Linked DNA regions of Caenorhabditis elegans. The protein of the gene in region 1 interacts with the protein of each later gene in a biochemical or structural test. Each region holds a gene or a part of one and is shown on either strand. Other genes may lie near its edges.

Evidence for each region. The genes of interacting proteins can lie anywhere in the genome.
Region 2: of the proteins of dlk-1 (region 1) and rpm-1, one has a biochemical effect on the other in vitro, tested with the Caenorhabditis elegans proteins (one study listed by BioGRID).

Annotation. Positions count from the first base shown.
Region 1 is NC_003279.8:12,567,476-12,579,167, forward strand, and holds the start of dlk-1 (Mitogen-activated protein kinase kinase kinase dlk-1), read right to left. Parts: upstream 5,327-11,692; 5' UTR 5,322-5,326; coding exon 5,270-5,321; intron 4,101-5,269; coding exon 3,954-4,100; intron 3,410-3,953; coding exon 3,250-3,409; intron 3,204-3,249; coding exon 2,706-3,203; intron 2,610-2,705; coding exon 2,460-2,609; intron 2,353-2,459; coding exon 2,043-2,352; intron 1,915-2,042; coding exon 1,533-1,914; coding exon of another isoform or gene 1,498-1,532; intron 1,143-1,497; coding exon 982-1,142; intron 891-981; coding exon 710-890; intron 1-709. Other genes in the region: F33E2.10 (DUF4817 domain-containing protein), read right to left, coding at 10,633-10,727, 10,774-10,854, 10,899-11,692. UniProt on the Caenorhabditis elegans protein: Component of a MAP kinase pathway that functions presynaptically to regulate synaptic architecture and presynaptic differentiation. Phosphorylates and activates mkk-4. Has a role in axonal regrowth following injury and synaptogenesis.
Region 2 is NC_003283.11:8,814,195-8,821,840, forward strand, and holds the start of rpm-1 (E3 ubiquitin-protein ligase rpm-1), read right to left. Parts: upstream 5,762-7,646; coding exon 5,575-5,761; intron 5,507-5,574; coding exon 5,283-5,506; intron 4,842-5,282; coding exon 4,408-4,841; intron 4,270-4,407; coding exon 3,825-4,269; intron 3,679-3,824; coding exon 3,534-3,678; intron 3,483-3,533; coding exon 1-3,482.

The DNA of each region.
Region 1 (11,692 bases):
CTCAAAAACTGGTGTGGCCTAGAAATCTAGCTGGTGGTCTAGAATTTTTTAACCTAGGCCATAACCATATTTTTCCAGGCAAGACCTTGAAATTTGCAAAATTTTAAAACAAAAATTACTGCGAAAACTTAAAAACTGTCGGAGTTATGAATTTTCGAAATATTTTTGCATATCTTTTTTTTCCAAAAAATTAACTTTTCTGCCTAAACTTCCAAATATTTAGAGCTAATTTTTATTACATAAAAATTTCCAAAAAAAAAGAGCATTTAGAGACGTATAACCCTGACTCCGCCCATTTTGGGTCTCGAAGCGAAAATTAAAGTTTTAGGTCAAAACTTAGAAAACCAGCCATGATTATACTCAAATGAAAGCTCTGAATTTTCCATGAAAATTATGAATTTTCCGAAAATTAGGATCTTTAAGGGTAGTTTAAAGTTACTGTAGAAAATTTTAAAAATTTCGAAAAATTCCGAAAAATTTTTTAATTTTTAAAATTCCGAAAATTTTTGAAAATCCATAACTCTGTCAATTTTTGGTATTTTCAGCTCAATATTGCCTAAAAATGAAGATAAACTTTTAAACTTTTTCGGAAAACCAAATCGATCTCTAGCTACAGTACCCCTTTGTGGTGGGAACTAACTAAAATAAAGAAGTCCCATGCAAAAAAAAATATTAGAAAACTCAGAAAAAGGAAAGAGCATGCACATACGAGAGGAGCAACTGATCACACCGTGTGGGACACGTGACGGGCTGTCACGTGTAAAGAAGACGGGCTGTCCGGGGACTGCAGTTGACTTGTTGACTGACGTGGAGACCCTCCGACGTGAAGCTATGCGCCCGTCCGACCAGCGACCGTCACCGTTACGGTACAGAGTTTGGGAGTAGCAAACCTGGAAAATTTGAGGAAAATCGATAAACTTTGAGTTTAAAAAAATCGAAATTTTTCGAAATATTTGTGCCAAAAATTAATTTCCTCCTCACCTGTTGTCCTCCACCATTAATAGCTGTGCAGCTACCGGCTCCAGCGCTCCACATCCCGGAATCCTGAGAAAATCCGGAATCCCTGGCCGGTGATCCACGGGCCCCACCCAGCGTCTCCCAGTAGGACCCTGAATGACGTATGGCGTCGTTGCGTAGGATTTCTGAAATTTTTCTATTTTTTTTAAATTGAGGGGACCAAGAGCTTTTAGAAATGTATAATCATGTCGAGGTTTTTGGAAACTTGATTTTTTTGCAAAAAATTGAGGTCTCCCCGCGGAAATCCCGTGGATAATGTAGCCAAGTAGTTATAAGTGAATCAAATATTTTTGCCAAGTTGTTCATTAACTTTGCTATATTTTGTAATACATTTTTTGGAATAATCTTAAATTCTAACGAAGTTATGAATTTTCGAAAAAGGTCTAGAATTTAGATAAGTTGAACTTTGAAAATATTTTGAAAATCCACAACTTTTTCAGTTTTTAAGATTTTTCCCTGATTTTTAGCTTTGTCGAAAGCTTAAATGTTCAATTTTTCAGGGAAAATATACTCACTTGGCGGATTCGCTCCCTCGCTTCTCCTCGTTTGCTGTCCAGCACTGCTCCGGCTCGAGCTTTGCCTTGAGAACGGAGAGCTCTGAACTCCTGACGAGGAGCTCGTATTGGAGCACCTATACGGAGATCCTCGGCACGGTTGAACATCTTCGTCAGACGACATATCATCATATCCCTCATTCGGGTATCCACGTAGCTGTGCTCGCGGAGCCGCCACTGCCTTCGGGCTGTTCTGATTGTGCCACTGCTCCCGTTCAGTCAGATCTTTTTCCCACTCGGCGAGCTCACTTTCCTTGAGTTTCAGCTCTGTGAAGCAGCCTTGGAGTTTGTCATACATTTTGTTGGTTCGTTTAAGCTTCATCTCGTACATATTTCGGATGTCCTGGAAGAAATTGGAGTTTTAGGTTTACAATTAGGCTAGTTTCAGGTTTGGTCTTAGGCTTAACTTTAGGCTTAAACTTAGCTTTTAAGCCTATAAGCCTAGTTAAAAACTAATAGAATATTTCTAACCTTAATATGATTCAATTGCTCATGCCGCTTCCTCTGTATTTCCTCCTCCATCGCAAATGCGCTTTTCGGTCCACCATGATCCCTGGTTACTGTAGACGGATACTGTATACATTTCGCGAACTCTCTGTAAGAATCCCATGCCAACTGCCACTCCTCTTCAGTCATTTCGAAAAGTTCCGGCTTGAAGATCTCCCAGTGTTGTCGGATGTGGGAGAATGAGGGACGATTGCGACCTTTTTGAGATAGACATTGCTTGATGAGAAGTACAAGACCTTTCGGAGCTTCTTCTGGCATTGGAAGGCTCAGAATGCTGAAAATTAAAAGGTTTTTAGGATTATTAAAATGGTTTTCTGGACATTTGGCTATTTGAATCTTCAGAAAAAAAAACAGAAAATCAGGGAACAAACTACAACTCACTTTGTTCCAACACCAAAAATGATTGCCATCTGAGCAATATTTGCGTATGGCGTCTCTCTGGTGAGCATCTCCCAGAGCACAACTCCAAATGAGTAGACGTCGACTTTTTCGTTGCATGGCTGTTTTTTTATCATTTCTGGGGCCATCCAGCTGAAAATGTTGAAGTTCATTACAACCAAGCTTAGGTCTAAGATTAAGCCCAAGCCAAATTTAAGAACCCTAAGCCTAAGCCAAGTTCCAACTTACCTAACAGTTCCACAGAATGACATCATAGTACTATCCATTTTCTTTTGCATATGAGACGTTCCAAAATCACAAATTTTAATTGAATCTTCAGCGGAGATTAGAATATTGGGCGATTTGAGATCCCTGTGGATCACTTTGTTCTGATGCAAATAGTGCATTCCATCAGCAATTTCCTTAACCCATTGAGCAAAAAGTTCTCGGGTTATTGTATTTCTTGACTTCAATACAGTACATAGTTGTCCTTTTGAGCAATATTCCATCACTATACAGTAGCACGGGCTCTTTGAGCAAACTCCGAGAAATTCAATGATATTCTGGTGACGGAGATGTCGAAGATGCTTGATCTCGGTCTCCTTCAGTTGATTGACCTTTTTCACAGCGACAGTTCGGTTTTCCAGCTGACCACGAAACACTGCTCCCTGGCTCCCGGAGCCCAGCCATTCAAGTTCGGAGATAGCGTCGAATGGGATCTCCCATAGTTCATCCTCGGATTTTTCACTGGAAAATTGAATTTTCAATCAAAAAAAAAATATTTAAAACTCACATTTCAACTGTAGTTTTAGTCCCGAAATATCCAAAAACTGGCTGAAAACACGAAAAGAGCCCATTCCTAAGCTGTCCGAGCCCATCTGCGTAGAAGCTGTTCAGGCTGGGTTTCGACGCGTTCCCGGTCGCAGCCACCATATTTTTGGGATCTGGGGATCCTGAAAATTTTGAATTTTTAGTGGAAAAAGATCACGTTTTCTTTAGTATATTTTGATGGAAATGTGCGTATTGTTTCGCTGAATCAATATGCAGTCGGCAAGTGATAAGAGACAGTGTGGGAATGTGAGAGAGTACAGAGAGATGTCAGAGAAAAAAGTGACGTGTGTGCGGGAAGCGGTGGGGATGAGAAAATACACATTTGGCGGTTTTTTTTGCAAAAAAAATTTGGAGATGGTAGAACACGAGGGAAAGGATCGTCGCCGAGGAATGCGCAAAGGCACGAGAAAAGCGCCAATGAAGTTGCTGGCGCATTTATCGTGCATTGACGTATTTTTGTCTATTCGTAGATCAAGTGATTTAGCGCATTTCTCGACAGGGGACAATTGTTGAAAATCAGGAGGAAAGGCAGCATAACCGCGCCGAGGCACAAGAAAAGCGCAAAGAAGTGCTGACGCATTTTCAGTGCCTTAACGCACTTCTAGTGTTTTGGCGCAGATCTCGTGTTTTGGCGCTTTCCTAGTGCCTTTGCGAACTTCTACTTACCTTCTTTCTGTCCGAACTCCGCGTTCGCCTGCTCCCGATGCTGTATCGGTGTGTTTGGAGCACTTTGTGTCACAAGCTCCGACCCATCCGGACTCAGGACTACTGTAGAGAAGTCGGAGGACTCCGGTGCAGGACCCGGTTGTTCTTCTGAAAAAAAGGAGTTTAAAGGGAAAAGTTCGTTGGATCGAAGAAAAACAAAAAGTTCAAGTGTATGTATTTACTGCCGCGCGCACATTGGCCTGGTGGCGCCATATTGCGATTTTTCACTCTGGTTTTCTCTATGTCTCTCTTTGCTGTGATTCATCAGAAACAGTTTTTGATCGGCAAAATATTTTTTGAAAATTTTTATCCCAAAAAATTCATTTTTAAGGTGCCCCTTCCCTCTGCAAGAGCAGCGATTTCGCAAGTGCCTTTCCGGGTCCCTTGAGCTACACGTCTGACTCATTTTGGCTAGAGCAGCTCAACGGGTCCCTCTTTGGCTCATTGACGTCACGCGAGTCGTGGAGCACACGAAGCACAACAAAAATAGAGTCATGCCATTCGAGGCGACAACAGGAGACGCAGAGAAGCAGAGAGCCGGGCTGGGCACTCGCGGAGAGGGGTTAATTAGTTTGGGAATGAGGCTTAAAATAGAATTTGGAACTTTAATCAAGACAACTTGAGAAATACAAAAAAATAGCCGTTTTTACCTTAGAAACTCAAAATTTCAGCTAAACCTTTGCTTTTATTGTATGTATGTTTTGATGGAAAACTGATGGAAAACAACTATTTTTTTGCCATTTTCGTCTAATGTTGTCAAGTTTTATACGAACGTTTGTCAATTTGTAGCCAAAAAATAAACATCAGTAGTAGTTTTGGGTAAAAATTTGGTAAGTTTTGATCTAAAAACGACAGTAATTTTGCTCAAACAGCCCATTTATTCTGCAAAATTATCTAAAAAGTTATGCAACCTATCTATGACTTATGCCCATAAACCTATAAAAAACATCATATGGTCAGAGAATTACTGATAATAAGGCGTCGCCGTCGTCTCACTATTTGCATTCCCCGTAAAAACTTCCACGTGGCTTACGCGACGTCGATTTGCCGGCGGCGGGGCCGTGTCTTGGAGAAAAGCGCGGAGACGCAGATATGTCGGGGGTATGGGATGAGGGGTTTAACGTTAGGTCAAAATTGTGTTCCACGTGGAAAACACTAACTCAAAACAGCTGAAACTTAAAGCTAGCAATAGTCAGTCGATGCACCATGATTTTGGAACCCCCAAGTTTGATTTGCGCCGTAAATCGATGCACCATGCCCCCCCACAAAAATTGTACCTGATGTTGGTGTGACCAAGTCGAGAGTGGTTACCATTGTGGTAGATGTCATTTTATCTGAAAAAAATAGTTTTTTTTAAGCTTGGCAGTCAAAAAAGGTAATTGCAAAACGGACAAAATCAATGTTGTATCGGAATTGAGGACGGATGACGTGATGCGTATGAAGAGAAAGGGAGAGGATCCGGGGCGATCATGCGCGGTGTACAGGAATTCAAGTCGTCGTCTTCTCTGGGGCGAAACTATAGATCAGTTCAAAAATTTTGAGATTCGAGACGAGATGAGTTCAACTCTCCACCACGGGAAAATTTTTTTGCAAATTTTTTCGTTCCAAAAAAAAGGAAAAAAAAAAGATCCAGAAAAAAACAAACAAACATTTTTGTCGCAGTCACCGAGGACCTAGGTCACACAAAGCTTCTTATTTTTACGAGCAACACCTGAAACTAAATCAGTCGTAAGGCCCTAGATTTATAACGTTAGTACTCACATAAGTTTCTGGGGCAAACTTTCTTTGCAGGCGACTCTTGTCTGCTCTCTTCCTCATCATCAGCAAGGTAGTCATTAGCAAGATAGTCATAAGCAAACTTGGCAGCCCACACAAGCTATCGGATAAGTGTCAAGAGACATTGGAGTTCAAAAAGTGGCTCTGATAGAGCACATGACCCGGTAGATAGACGAAAAGTTAGTACTAGGGAACCTTAGTTAGTACTAGGGTACCTGTTATGAGGCACAGGGGTCTGGATTTCCTCATTGCAGTTTTGCGCTCCATTGACAATCGTCTGCCGGACAACGCGTGGGAAAGTCGCGTACACCATACGGGCAGGTACATTTTTTTACAACTAAAACCGAGCCGCTACGCGATACGCAACGCGCCGTAAATCTGTTCCAGATATGGCCGAGCCAAAATGGCCTAGTTCGGCAAACTCTTGCATTTTAATTTATGAGGGAATCCCGAAAAAAAAACAAAGTAAATTTAACAAGCACTTTTATATATGTAGTTAGTTTTTGAAGCTAAATACTCCTTACAATTAGTTCCCCAAAACAGTAAGGTTGCCTAGATTACGGTGTACCCCCTGCCGGAAACTGTACCTCCAAAATTGAATCTAAGTAATGTTGAACCATATAACCTATCTCTGTTGTCAGTGGGGCACGAGGAAGACCCCTTCCCTCAACCCCATCGGGAGGCCCCCTATAAACACAAAAAATGACAAATTTCTACAGTGAGTTAGCGAGAAGACTCTCTTATCAGCAAAAAAAAATAAGAACTGAGCAAACCGATAGTAACATTTTCAGGGCGTGGCGGTGACCGTAATCGCGGGAGTCACATGGAAATAACTATGAATTTTCAGATGAGGGTGCCTGGCTCCATGGCAGGCGTGCTCCGTTGCCATGCTACCTCGCCACACACACATACACAAACATCTCAATCGGAAGCTCACTTTTTGAATGCTCTAAGAAGAGGGAGGAAAACGACCGGAACATGAGAAGAAGAAGGGGAAAAGGAATAAAAAGTGGTAGTTGAGAGGGAGTGAAAAAGGGATTATAATTGTGGGGGTGGTGGAAGGGGGTGAGGGTCAAAAATCTTTACTCGGCTGAAAATCCTTACTATTAGCCCCCGTTTTATTCGAAAAATATAGTATTGTAAATAAAAATAAGAACGAGTAGCCACTGCGTCATCACCTATTTGAGTTAGTGCGTCAATGTGATAAAAATAGAAATTATGAGGGAGAGAGAGAGGGTAGTATAACTTTTGAGTCGAGAATGTTGGCGAGAAGAATTGTTATAAAAAAAACTACTAAAAAGTGTTCAAGGAGGAACACTTTTCCATAACTCTGGCCACACCCCAACTTGGCTAGAGTTTTGCCGGTAGTGAATGACCGGTAGGGTGATAAAGGACAGTTCACCTTAGGGGCCGAAAGGGGCCTAGGGTTTTTGGGCCTGCACAAAAGCTTTTGCGGAAGGCATAGCTCAAACCTGTTGAAACTAATAAAATCTTGAAATAAATGAACTTTGTTATCTGAATAATCCAGTGAAAAAGATCAACAAGTATATTGTTAGTTGGATGTAGGTCCATGATCGCGTAAAAATCTAGGTGGCTATAATAAGTTTAGTCTTTCCAACGCTGAACCCCTATCGTATATAATTGCTCAAATTACATGGCTCAAAAAAAATGGAAAAAGAACAAGAAGCCACTACGTCATCACAACATTGTTGCGATAAAACTGGAGGGACATGATGATGTTTCAGGAAACAAAGTATATTGGGTCTAGAATTTTAAATTTTACAGTGCTTAGCTTGTCTGAAAAAGGTGCGGAATTTCTGGGCAAGCGCCTAGAAGTGCGTCACAATTTTTCCCATAAAAAATTCCCGCATTTTTTGTAGATCAAACTGTATTGAGACAGCCTGACACCACGTTCTCGAAAGGTTATTTGGTTTTTAAAAATGTTATACGCTTCAATTTTCACCTAGAAGATCCTCACGTCAGAGCTGAGTCTCTCTAAAAAAAGTGATTCTAATTGTAAGCCTAGCAACCCAGTTTTCTTCCACAAAAAAAAAACGACAATGAATTGTTCTAGAGAATCACCTCACCGTCTGCGTCTCCCTTGGGTGCCCGTAGAGGACGATCACCTGTTTGTATGAGAGGGGCAAACGTGTGTCTTTTCTATTCACCCGTCGTCGCTCTACATGTTTGAATTACTCATCAATGCAATTTTTGATTGAAAAGAGGTACTAGGCGAAGGAAAGTGAGCATTGGTTGTTATTATTAGATTATTAAAGTATGGAAAATGTTAAAAATTTGTCAGTGGAGAGATTTTTTTCGAGAAGGGCTAGAAAAATTATGAGGAAAGTTAAATTACTGATAGCGAAATAAAGATTGAAGAACTACTGGAGAATGAGCACATTTCGACCTTTCAGCCCATTTCCAAAGCCCCTAGAGAAGCATAAAAATCGATTGCCCAGCCGCGTCACACAAGAAAATGACCACCAAAAAGTGTCGTGCCTCAACGTCTTCTGGACTAGAAAAAAGCGAAAAAAAAGATGAGGAAAAATGTGGAGAGATGGGAGAATGAAATGAGGGAAGCGATGGGGGGAAACCGCCGCGGGGGCCCTTCCACGCTTCTTCTCTGCGTCTCTCCAAACGGCGGTCTCTTGAAGTTTTCTTGTTGTCTCTGCCTGACCACACGTTTGCGAACTCCCGGGCCGCCGCTTGAACTTGAATCAGGTAGTTTTCGGAGGGGATGAGAGAACAGGTGGATCAACAAGCGAGGCCATTGGCAGCGCGACGGAAATGGATTTTTTCAAGGTTTGCAAGTTTTGTTTGGAAAATGCAGACGACTTGGCGCGAGGTATTTGAAAAGTGATAAGGTTTTTTTCCCGGAAAATTGGTCACAATTTGCAGAACTGACTCATTATCAGCACATTTTAGTAACGATTTTGCCAAAAACTATGTAAATGCACTTGGAAATGCATATGACGCTTCTTGAAGTTCGTATTGTTTGCTTATTGAAGGTTCTCGTAATTTTTGAGGTCCCCAATGTTCTTTACTGGCCTTAATCAATCTTCTACAACCTGGCTACTCCAAATTGGTCCGCCCTAGGAACCGAACGGTACCTTCCGGTGTCACTGTTTTCCCGCCATTCACAGTGACGAATCTCATCGAAGATTGATGATATCTTTGACAGTTCTCCGAGGCAAACCGGTTTTAAAAACACATTGGAATTACGAAATCGGAGCGTAAAGAGTAGAAGATGAAGGAAACAAGTGAGGAGATTGATATGAGAAAAGGAGAAAACGATTAACAAACGCGCTAATTCTAACACTGGAGACAGGGATTAAGGGTGAGGAGAGAGTTGCTAATTCAAGCAATACTTGGGTAGAAGCCGATAACTGGACGGGAAAATTTTTTTTCATCAACTAGTAAAAAATTGCACAGAATCCTATTTTGGCATTTTTTAAAAACTATTTTTGAATTGCATTTTCTCAAAGGTAACAAACTTTTTCTCATATAGAAAATTTGGGTCAAATTGATTGATCCAATTGGTGGGCGGCAATTGTTGTTAGGCAAATTTTTTTTCGATAAGTTCGGCAAATCGGCATATTGCCGGTTTGCCGATTTGTCGGAAAATTTCAATTCAGACATTGCCGGTTTGCCGATTGTTGGAAATGTTTAGAGGGATTTTTTATAAGACGGCAACACTTAAAACTGTGCCTTTTTGAAATTTTTATCTCGTTATCTTTAGATATTTTCATAGAATTTGTTTGTTTTCAAAATAGCTGTAGAAACATTTGTGGAATTCGTACAATTTTGCCGATTGAAATTGAAATTCTGAAATTACAAAAAAAAAGTGCAAAACCACAATTTGCCAAAAAATTTTTGGCAAGTGCCGGAAATTTTCAATCCCGGCAATGCGCCAATTTGCCGGGAACTTTTAATTTCGGTGATTTGCCAATTTGCCGGAAATTTTAATTCTGGCAATTTGCCGATTTGCTGGAAATCTTCAATTCCGGATATTTGCCGATTTGCTGGAAATTTTCAATTCCGGCAGTTTGCCGATTTGCCGGAAATTTTCAATTCCGGCAATTTGCCGATTTGCCGGTTTTGGGCCCTAGGTCATTGTCAGCTAAAGTCCAAAAAAAAACGAGAGAACGGATTATAACTGGCATAACTAGTATAAGATTATCATAATCTGCTGCCAAATTATATCTAAAAGGTTTTCAACCTAACTCCCACGAAAAAAAGAGTAATTGTTTGCTCCAATATTTGCTTAGAAAATATCTCTTATCACATTTAACAATTTCGCAATCACAGCGGCGAAAACACAAATAAGTGTAAAGATTTCCGAGAACTGAAGTTGCAAAAACGGATAGAAAGCCCGGCCAGGAGGGAAGTGAGGGGGTGAGGCAACTGTTGCCATGAAGAAAATAATGATGAGTCAAGTGATTTTTCGCAGGGACCATTGACAAGCGAGCACAAAGACCGGAACCGGTGCATAATGCTCAGGGTGGTCTTTGTGCTTGAATGTCAATGGTCCCTGAGTTCCAGGTTCCTGTCGGAAGGTGAAGCCCGGGAGCCCCTAACTTTGAGCAAAAATACAGGATAAGCTCTCTGAAAAACAAAGTAGAAAAGCTGTTCTTGTGTTCCGGGCGGGAGAACCAACCGACTAGATAAGCTTTCTATGAAACCATGAAGAGAAGCATTCTGTCAAGAATCTTCGAGTAACTTTTTGTTTATTGAAAAGAGTTCACAGACTTTAAGATGTAAAGATTAAAATAGAGGTAGTGGAAAAATGTAAAGCGAGAATATTAGGTCCAGCGATTATAGAAAAATTACTCTGCAGTACAAGCAGAAACTAAATTGAACTCTTTTACTCCACCAATTCGCCGGGTGCGCGTGCTGATTCGGCGACGGCCGAGTCTGCGATTGACTCGAGATCCGAGAAGGAGTCCGCCATGGCGATTCCTGCAATTTTTGATGAAAACTTTATACTTGAAATGATGAAACTTACTTGGCACGATTTCGTTAGCTTCATCAAGGATCTCATCGGGGATCTGGGGTGGAAGGACCAGTGGGAGACGGAGCTTGAGTGCTGAAATTTAACAAAATTACAGAGGTTCACATACAAAAGCTCACCGAAGAAAATGGAAGTGGTACTTTCCATTTTGTTGCACTTGCTGCAGAACTCTTTCCAGACCTCTCCGGTACGATTGTTGAAGTTCAAGTGGACAATTTTCTGATGTGTCTCGTCAAAGCCCACAAGCACTCTTCTGCGAAGGCGGTGACAGTCCACACCGTACGACTCCTGAGTGTGAGTCACATCATCACAAGGGAAACGGCGACGTTCGAGCCAGGTGAGCTCAAAAGCCTTTCGGCAGATCTCGATATGATTGAAGCTTCTCGGGCGATTGATGTCACAGATGATCTCATCGGTGATGCTTCTCATCAGGTAGCAGATGCCAGCCAGGTACGTGAGGCCATTGTAGTTGAAATAAGTCGCCTGGACTCGGTCAGAGATCAGATGGTAGGTCAGGAATCCCTTAGCTTCCTGGTCGATCGGCTCGAAGTTGAATGAGTCTCCCCCAGCGAGGAAGTTCTCGGCGGCCACTGAAACTGTGATGGCGTTCATAGGGATCACGTAGCCCCTGAGACTGTCATCCTTCAACACAAAATGGATAAGCTCATGACCAAGCTTGTAATCCTCCGCTGGCACGGGAGCCATCGGGTTCTCCGTGCAGTTGAATCCAACAATCTCATGAGCCATCCATCTGGTTGCCGTCTTAAGGATCGGCCAAAAGCGGGGATAACCGAGCACAGGATGTTCCTCGTGAGGCTTCTCGGCGTTGATCATGATGATCTGAGTTTGACTCGCCTTGTTGCTAAGTTCAACGGGCGGCTCGTAGGGAAGAGCATCGGTAGTAGAGCTCCTG
Region 2 (7,646 bases), on another chromosome or scaffold:
TTGGCTCATTGAGCATCCTGAGAAAAACAAGCGGGCTCCATTGAGTAGATGCACTTGAGTGACTCCACCTTCTCCGCAGAATGTCTTTGTATTTTTCATCATGTTAACTTTGACAGCGTAAGTGACACCTGGAGAAAGAAGTACATATTCTGGAAATCTAACAATTCCAACTTCTTTTTCTTCAGACGACATTTCAGCAGTAACCCGAAGAAGGCATGTCCATTTTTCAGATGAATCTGGAGACAACATCATTATTTCTCCAACGAAATTCCGTCGGTCTGGTTCAGTTGGAAGATATATTCCAAAACCGTGTAATTTTATCCCTTCGGAGTCCACTCTAAAAGCAATTGCATCTGCACATCCATCAGACATATCCCAAGTAGGTTGTGCACTTCTTCTTCTGAACCTCGACGAAGTTTGATGTACTACTGGTCCCATAAGAGTATCATCTGTCGGAATGGCAAGATCTCTCGATACCTTGACCAAAATGGCCTCAGCCAAACTTGACGTGTTTTCGTACGCATTTCTCATAAAAGTTTGATCGTAAAGAAATCGAAGAATATTTGGAAATGAAGTGAGAGACGCGAGTGTTTCTTTCTCACAATTGAAATGTTTCAGAAGAAGTGATGACAGCATTGGAAATCTTTCAGTTGTGGTAGTCGAGCATAGAAGTTGATGAGCAAACCGTTCAATTTTAGCAAGGGATCCAATAATTGCAGATGTTAGGATCAAAGCTTCATGATTTCCTTTGTTCATGACAGCGATAAGATGAGCATTCATGAGACTTCTTGATCCCATAAAGCAGTGAGAAAGAGAAATGAATAGCTTAACCGCTTCCGACACACACTTCATCAGAGTATACCCTTCTTCAACAACCTTTTCTTCTTTTTTAATTAATGGACGATTTTCATATCCAGTCATATCGGTTGAAAAGAAGAATTCTAAGAGCATTGAGTGCAGATTTACCAACTTATTAGCAAAATCAATTCCTGGTTCATCATGACATCCCTTCTCTTTGTACACTGTTCTTACGAATCTTGATATAAGCTTCATGCTTAAAATAGCAACAAATCCTGCTCTTTCCTGACTCCATTGATTTTCAGCACTTCCTTCAACTTGATTGTTTGTATCTTCATCAATTTGAACGCGTTGTAAAGCCCACTCCAAAAGTATCAGCAAATTACCAATTCCTTCCGCTGTGACATTTTTCAGTGCAGCAGGTGAAAAGAGATTTGACATGTCTCTACTGATTGACAGCTGTTTATTCGAATCCGATTCGTCACGACTTTCAGATCCACCGACAATTTGATAATACAGCTCCGGAATCTGTCCAACATCTACGTCAGTTCCATTGTTTGACACAGCAGATTTTCGAAACTGAAATGTTACTCCATCGCACTCGACATGACGTTTTCCATTTGCTCCACAATCAGAAGAAGGACCACTTATCTTTGCACTGACTACATGCCAATGATTTGGTTGAATAACTATTGGTTGTGAGAATAAAAGAGTTGCAGTCTCATGTGCTCCACAATCATAAACTGTTTCATCAGTCTCAGTGATCTGCTCCACATATAACTCATCAGCTTCTGTTCCAATTTGTCGATATAACTTGAGCTTCGATATGTATTCTCCTCGTCCTCCATACAGCCCAACTCCTACTAATCGAATTTCCTTGGAGACTTTAAATTGGATAGCTTCAACAGAATTTGCCGAGTATCCCCAACCACCTCCCGTACCATCAAATCGATTTGCAACTGAATAACCATCCATAATTGTTTTCTCGTGATCCTGTTCTCGTTCCCCATGTTTTTCCTTCCAGAATTCAGATAAATTGATAACATTTGCTGAGAATGTTGCTGATAAAAGTTGCATTCCAAGACTCATCGAAGTTGCATAAGCAGGACTGTCGTACACTTGGACAGCAAATTCGGCACCAGCTAGGAAAGTTAGGGAATCAAATGCATCGCCCACAGATTTTTCAGATTTTTTGAAAATGTCATATCCTTTGATTTCCATTTCTGCTGAATTGTAATACCACAGCATGTCATACTTCGGATCAGTGGCCCATGATGTATACCAACATTTGTAATCGCTCGCATGATGTTCAAAAACATTCAACTTTCGTCTTATTACAATGTAGTCTTTACCAACTTCTCTTGGGAAAATGAAAATATTCGTTTTGTTTGCAACAATTTGAGCTTTCAGAATATTATCAGAAGATAATAAAGCTGTATGACTATGGATGATTGAAGAATCACCATCGGCTCCGATCCATCCAGCGAATGCATTGAATCCAGGACCAAAACCAGAAACTTTTTCAGGGATCGCATTCCATCCAGCTTTCTCGCCAGCTGGTCGTGCTAGCTGACCTTTTCCAAATGCACCAAATGTGAAAACGCTTCCATCATTTGCCCTCAAAATTGTGTGATTTGAACCAGCGGCAACTTGGACTATAACTGTATCAGATGGAAGAATGACTTGCTGCGGAGTGTTTTTGCTAAGTGTATCTCCAACTCCTAATTGGCCATGGCAGTTGGATCCAAAAGTGAAAACTCTTCGATCAGATGCAAGAAGTACTGTATGAAAATTTCCACAGCTTACGCTTGAAACTTTTACATCATGAGGTCCTTGACTTAAAATTACACGTGACGGATGTAGAGTACTTCTTTGAGGAGCAGCTGTTGAACTGAATTGCACATGCTGAGCTCTACCAGGCTGTGCTGGTTCTGTAACCTCTCCACATGGTCTGCAAAGTCCACATCGAAGGCATGTTGACTCTCCAACACCGCAATGACACATGGTTCCCTTTGGTCGAGGAACTCTTCCACATGCTACTCCTCGTGCGGAGCAAAGCCCGCATTGAGCACATACCGAGGGTGTGTCAGTTAGCCACGTGTGTTCTCCGATAGGACAAATCTGATACTCTTGACGACCGGAATGTCTTGGAGAAGACGTGGTTGAAGTTGATTCAACTCTTCCACATTGATTCATATTGTTCAATCCCCATGTAAAAAGATGGCCATTTCGAGTCACAGCAACACCGTGAGATTTTCCAAGCGCTAATGAAGAAATCATCACATTATCCAGTCCATTTAACATTTGACTTGAAACATTCACTCTCATTGTATGAAGTCCTCCCATGAAAATCTTTCCATTTTCAGATACATATCCATAGACATGACCAGAGGCGCAAACATGAACAATTTTCCGGCGATTAGATGGAACAAGTCGACGTAGTCTTCCATTTCTTTTCTTATCGTCTACACTTGCAATCCAACCATGCCCTGCACCAGAACGAAACATTATTGTATCAATTCCAACAGAAATTTGAACTATTGGCTCGGGAAGACACAGTTCCATCCAGTTGTTCCCAGTTTCAAATAATCCGAACCTTGTCCCGTTTCCAGCGTAGTACACTTTTCCAGAGCGAGCTTGAATGAATGCCATTTCTCGAGTGAAGTGAAGATCAACAGTTTGAGCTGAAAATTGATATGTTCAAATTTCCATGTAAACAAAACTACTATTCTTACGATGAAGGTTTGCAGGTAGAAATTCGGGGAGTTGGTGAGGAACTTGAAGATCTCCTTGAATCGTGAACTTCACATCAGTGAGTCGATGACTTCTTCGTGATGATGGCTCATTGGAAGGGGAAAATGAATCATTTAGTTGAATTGTCTGAAATATGTTATTTATAAACTTTTTTGAGCTGTCATGTTATGTGTTTTTATTTCTAACAATAAGTAGAATTTTCACGATTAAAAGTGTTTAAAAATAGTTTCAATTAAATATCTTAATTTTTAATTTGAGAGAATAAATCCTACCGATAGTGTAGAATTGGCAATCAGAGTTGCACTGTAAAAGTATGTTCCATCCGTGAACAGTGCATGTTGTACACAACTTGGTGGTAGAATCACTTCTCCAATATCCAACAATGAATCCGTGTCAATCACTGATATGCATGATGAGTAATTTCTTCGTAAATACAATGATCCATTGCATAAATACATTTGCACATTTTTCGACGATTGTAAACTCTGATTCGCTGCATACAACTTTCCAGAAATTGTTTCATTCAGGCCGGTCCCCAACTTGTAGAGTCCAACATAATTAAGAATGTAGAGAAATGTTCCATCACATGCCATTGTGCTATGTATTCGATTGTCATCGTCGGGAGTGTCGGAAGACGGAGAGCTATCAGGAAGACTAGGTAGACTGAAACTGCTTGCTACCGAGTGCTCGTGAACATCTACCATTGCCCAGTTTGGTCTGAAATTTTGCATTTAATAAAATACTAATAAAACTATCATGGGATTTTGCAAGCTTCTAAGAAATTCTACTAAAAGAAGAAATTTGTGAACACAATACTACATATTTGAATACTTTCAACTTGAATAAAATACTCACGGGGAATTGGCAGTGTTGTCTCCGCCTAAAGCTTTCCTCCTCACTTTCAGTAGTAATTTTCTCAAATTTTCTGGCATTTGGATCATATCATACGTCGAATCGGCGCTCATTCGAATATTTTTCTTCATACAAATTAATGATCGAATTGTGCTTCCTAAATGCTCCGGCTCTCCACATGCAACTGATAAAGCCACAAGGCATGAGGTAGCTTTTGAGCTCACTGAGGGACAGGCATCTTCTCGAAGCGTTTTCAGAACGTGCATCATTGCAGACATTGATAAACGGTTTTCGGACTGAAGACAATCGATTGGCATCGATTGGATCAATGATAACAATGATTCGAGAGCTTGAACACAAAGTTCGGCGTCACGTCGACTTAATTGCTCGAGAACTTCGAAGATACATGTTAAACTAGCTCCAACCAGCTGATCAGTCTGAAAATTCATGAGAGCTGAACCATTTTTCACCTTTTAAAACAGTTTTTAATAAGAAAAAGTATTTCACACACGGGTTCCAAAAAGTTGTAGAGTTATATGTTCAGTTCCATTTTGAAATTTATGGTAATTTAGTATTCCAAAATTGTTTTATTACTCACCGGTTCAATTTCAAATAATTATTTTTCAAACCATATTCTATTTTTAGCGTTTAAAAAGGAAACAATTTTGAATCTAGCTGGGGGGATATCGTCAATGTGTAAAACACGGTTTCATAATTGTTTTTTCTGGTTTCCTTGCCGACCTATGTCCCAGTTTTGCAAGCTTCTTAACTACGTTTCGAAAAAAAATTTAGAAAAAATTTGGCTGTTGACTTTGAAACTTAATTAGAAATTTCAATGTATTTTTCATTTAATACTTTTTAACATTATAAAAACTCACATTTTTGTATTGCTTTCCCTCTTCATCAGCTCCACTGGTTCCGGCTTCCTCTTCGCTTCCATCTTCTTTTTCAGAAACTTCTTCTGGATTCCCAAACCGTGCAAGAATTGATTTGGCAATTGCTACTAAAGCAAAAGGCGAAGGTGGTCCCACAACAAATTTTGAGTTCAGAATATCATGAAAATTAATTTGTTGTTGCTGGTCCAGAGGTGTTTTGGATTTCTCTGAAATTAAAAATTATTTTTATTTTTATTATTTTATACTTCTCCAAACTACAAAAAAATATACTAACCTTCTTCTTTATCGAGTTTCCCGCAATGTGCTGGAACCCTGAGAATATCCGGTTTGCATGTGTTCTCGGCACATTTGTATAGCAATTTTCTCAGTCTTCGTGCACTTTTCCTATCTTCAGGAATCGACGTTTCGGTGCTCGTGGAACACACTCGTTCACCATCAATTTCTCGCAAGAAGAACGACATTTGGATATTCTTTGGAAAGTTAATAAAATTGGTTAAATATTGTGGATAGATTGATTCTCATCATTAGTGATCTGAAAAATTTAACTGTGGCATTTAGAAAAAAAAATAACAGAGAAACTCTGAGGCGTCAATTTCTCTGCAATTATGTGCATTCAGGAAATATGAGGAAAATTGAAGGAAAAGAAAACCATGAAACAATAACTAAATTTTAAGATCACAGGCTTAGTATATGCGCAGATGTGATTTTGAACGTAGCGCCAGTGGGATTTTTCTTGATTTTTTTAAGATTTGAAAGAAAATTGCAATAATTTAACATTTATCCTTACTTTTTGTCACAAAATATTTGAAAGTTTGACAAAAAAAAGGTTCGAATCATATCGCAGCTTTAAAAAATGAAGAAAATCGGATGAAGTTAGCAGGAAAGCGAAATTACTTTGATCGCTTATTCAAGAATAATTTAGGTACGATAATCCAACTCCAATTGAAGAAATTTTTTTTGAATTTTCAATTATCGTAAATATTATAGGCGTTTGAATGAAAATTACCCAAATTACAAGAAAAGAGGAAAAAGGGAAAATTGTGAAAGATTTTTGTTCACCAAGGAATAAAAAAGTATAAAGCCGAGCAAAAGCAATATTGACAGACTTTACTGTTTTCCGTTCGCTCACAAACCACGTGCCTATCCCTTGTTCTGTCCGATCACAAAACGATATTTCTCCGAGACAAAAACGTTTTTTTTAAATAAATGAACAAAATCTAGAACTCCGGGAAATTAAGTTTCCTGTCCGAATCATTTTGCTGATCTGCGAAAATCGAGGGACATTCATAGAAGAGACGAAGAGAAGAAGGTCCCACCCCCCGTAAAAGGGTATGCGCCCGTTTTGTTGAGAAAGGAAGAGAAGTGAGAGAGACACAGAAAGTGAGATGAAACCAAAACGGAGAAAAGAGAACGAGACATAGTGTTGTCTTTGTTGGAGACAGACTCGCTTGTAATGGACAGCCGGTCAGACATGAGAAATAGGACGCAAGGAGATGGAAACGGAGAGCAAGGGACGGGTGTCCCTAGATGGACGAAGAAGAAGGGCTCCGTGCGTGTATTTGTGTGTGTATCTGTGAGAAGTGTCGAAAAGCGGAGATGAGGACAGAAGAAGGAGAAAATTGGGTGTGGGTCCGGAAAAAAGGGAAAAAGATTTGAAATTAGATATGCCAGCTTGGAGAAGCTTTTGTTATTTCTTGAGAGGTATCCAAATCAGATTGTTTTTTTTTGCTGTGGGATATCTGAACAATATTCTAAAATACGGTATGTATTAAGTACCTTAAAATTTACCTGTTATAAGAGTTTGATGGCAGTGTTATTAACAATCTGAAATATAAATATGTATACTGAAATAGAAAAGTTGTTTTCAGCTATTCGAAAATAGACGTAGGTACATAAATAAATCTTGGATTAAGAAAGGTGTAAACAGTGACGTATGTGATTAATCGTATAAGCACCAAATTTTATCAAGTTTTTTTAAAACTTTATTGCAGCAAATTATTTTATTAATGTGGCGTATCCAAAACTATTAAAATTGAATACTTTTGATCTAGTGTTATGTCTTTCAATGTTGTCAACTGCTGAAACATCTGATATTCATCAAGAGTGTCTATACTGATCTATTTTGTTAAATATAATTTATTAAAAATTTCTGAAAATAATTGAGACTCTTGAAAAAATCCATTTAAAACAATCAAAATAGTTCAAAAAGTTCACATATTTTTATTGTTATAAAAATATAATAAAATTGCAATGTTTATCGAAAAAATGAAATTTCATAATTATTTAAACAATCCAAATTGTATAAACAGAAGGCACTCAATAAGTTCACATATGACTGAAAATTAT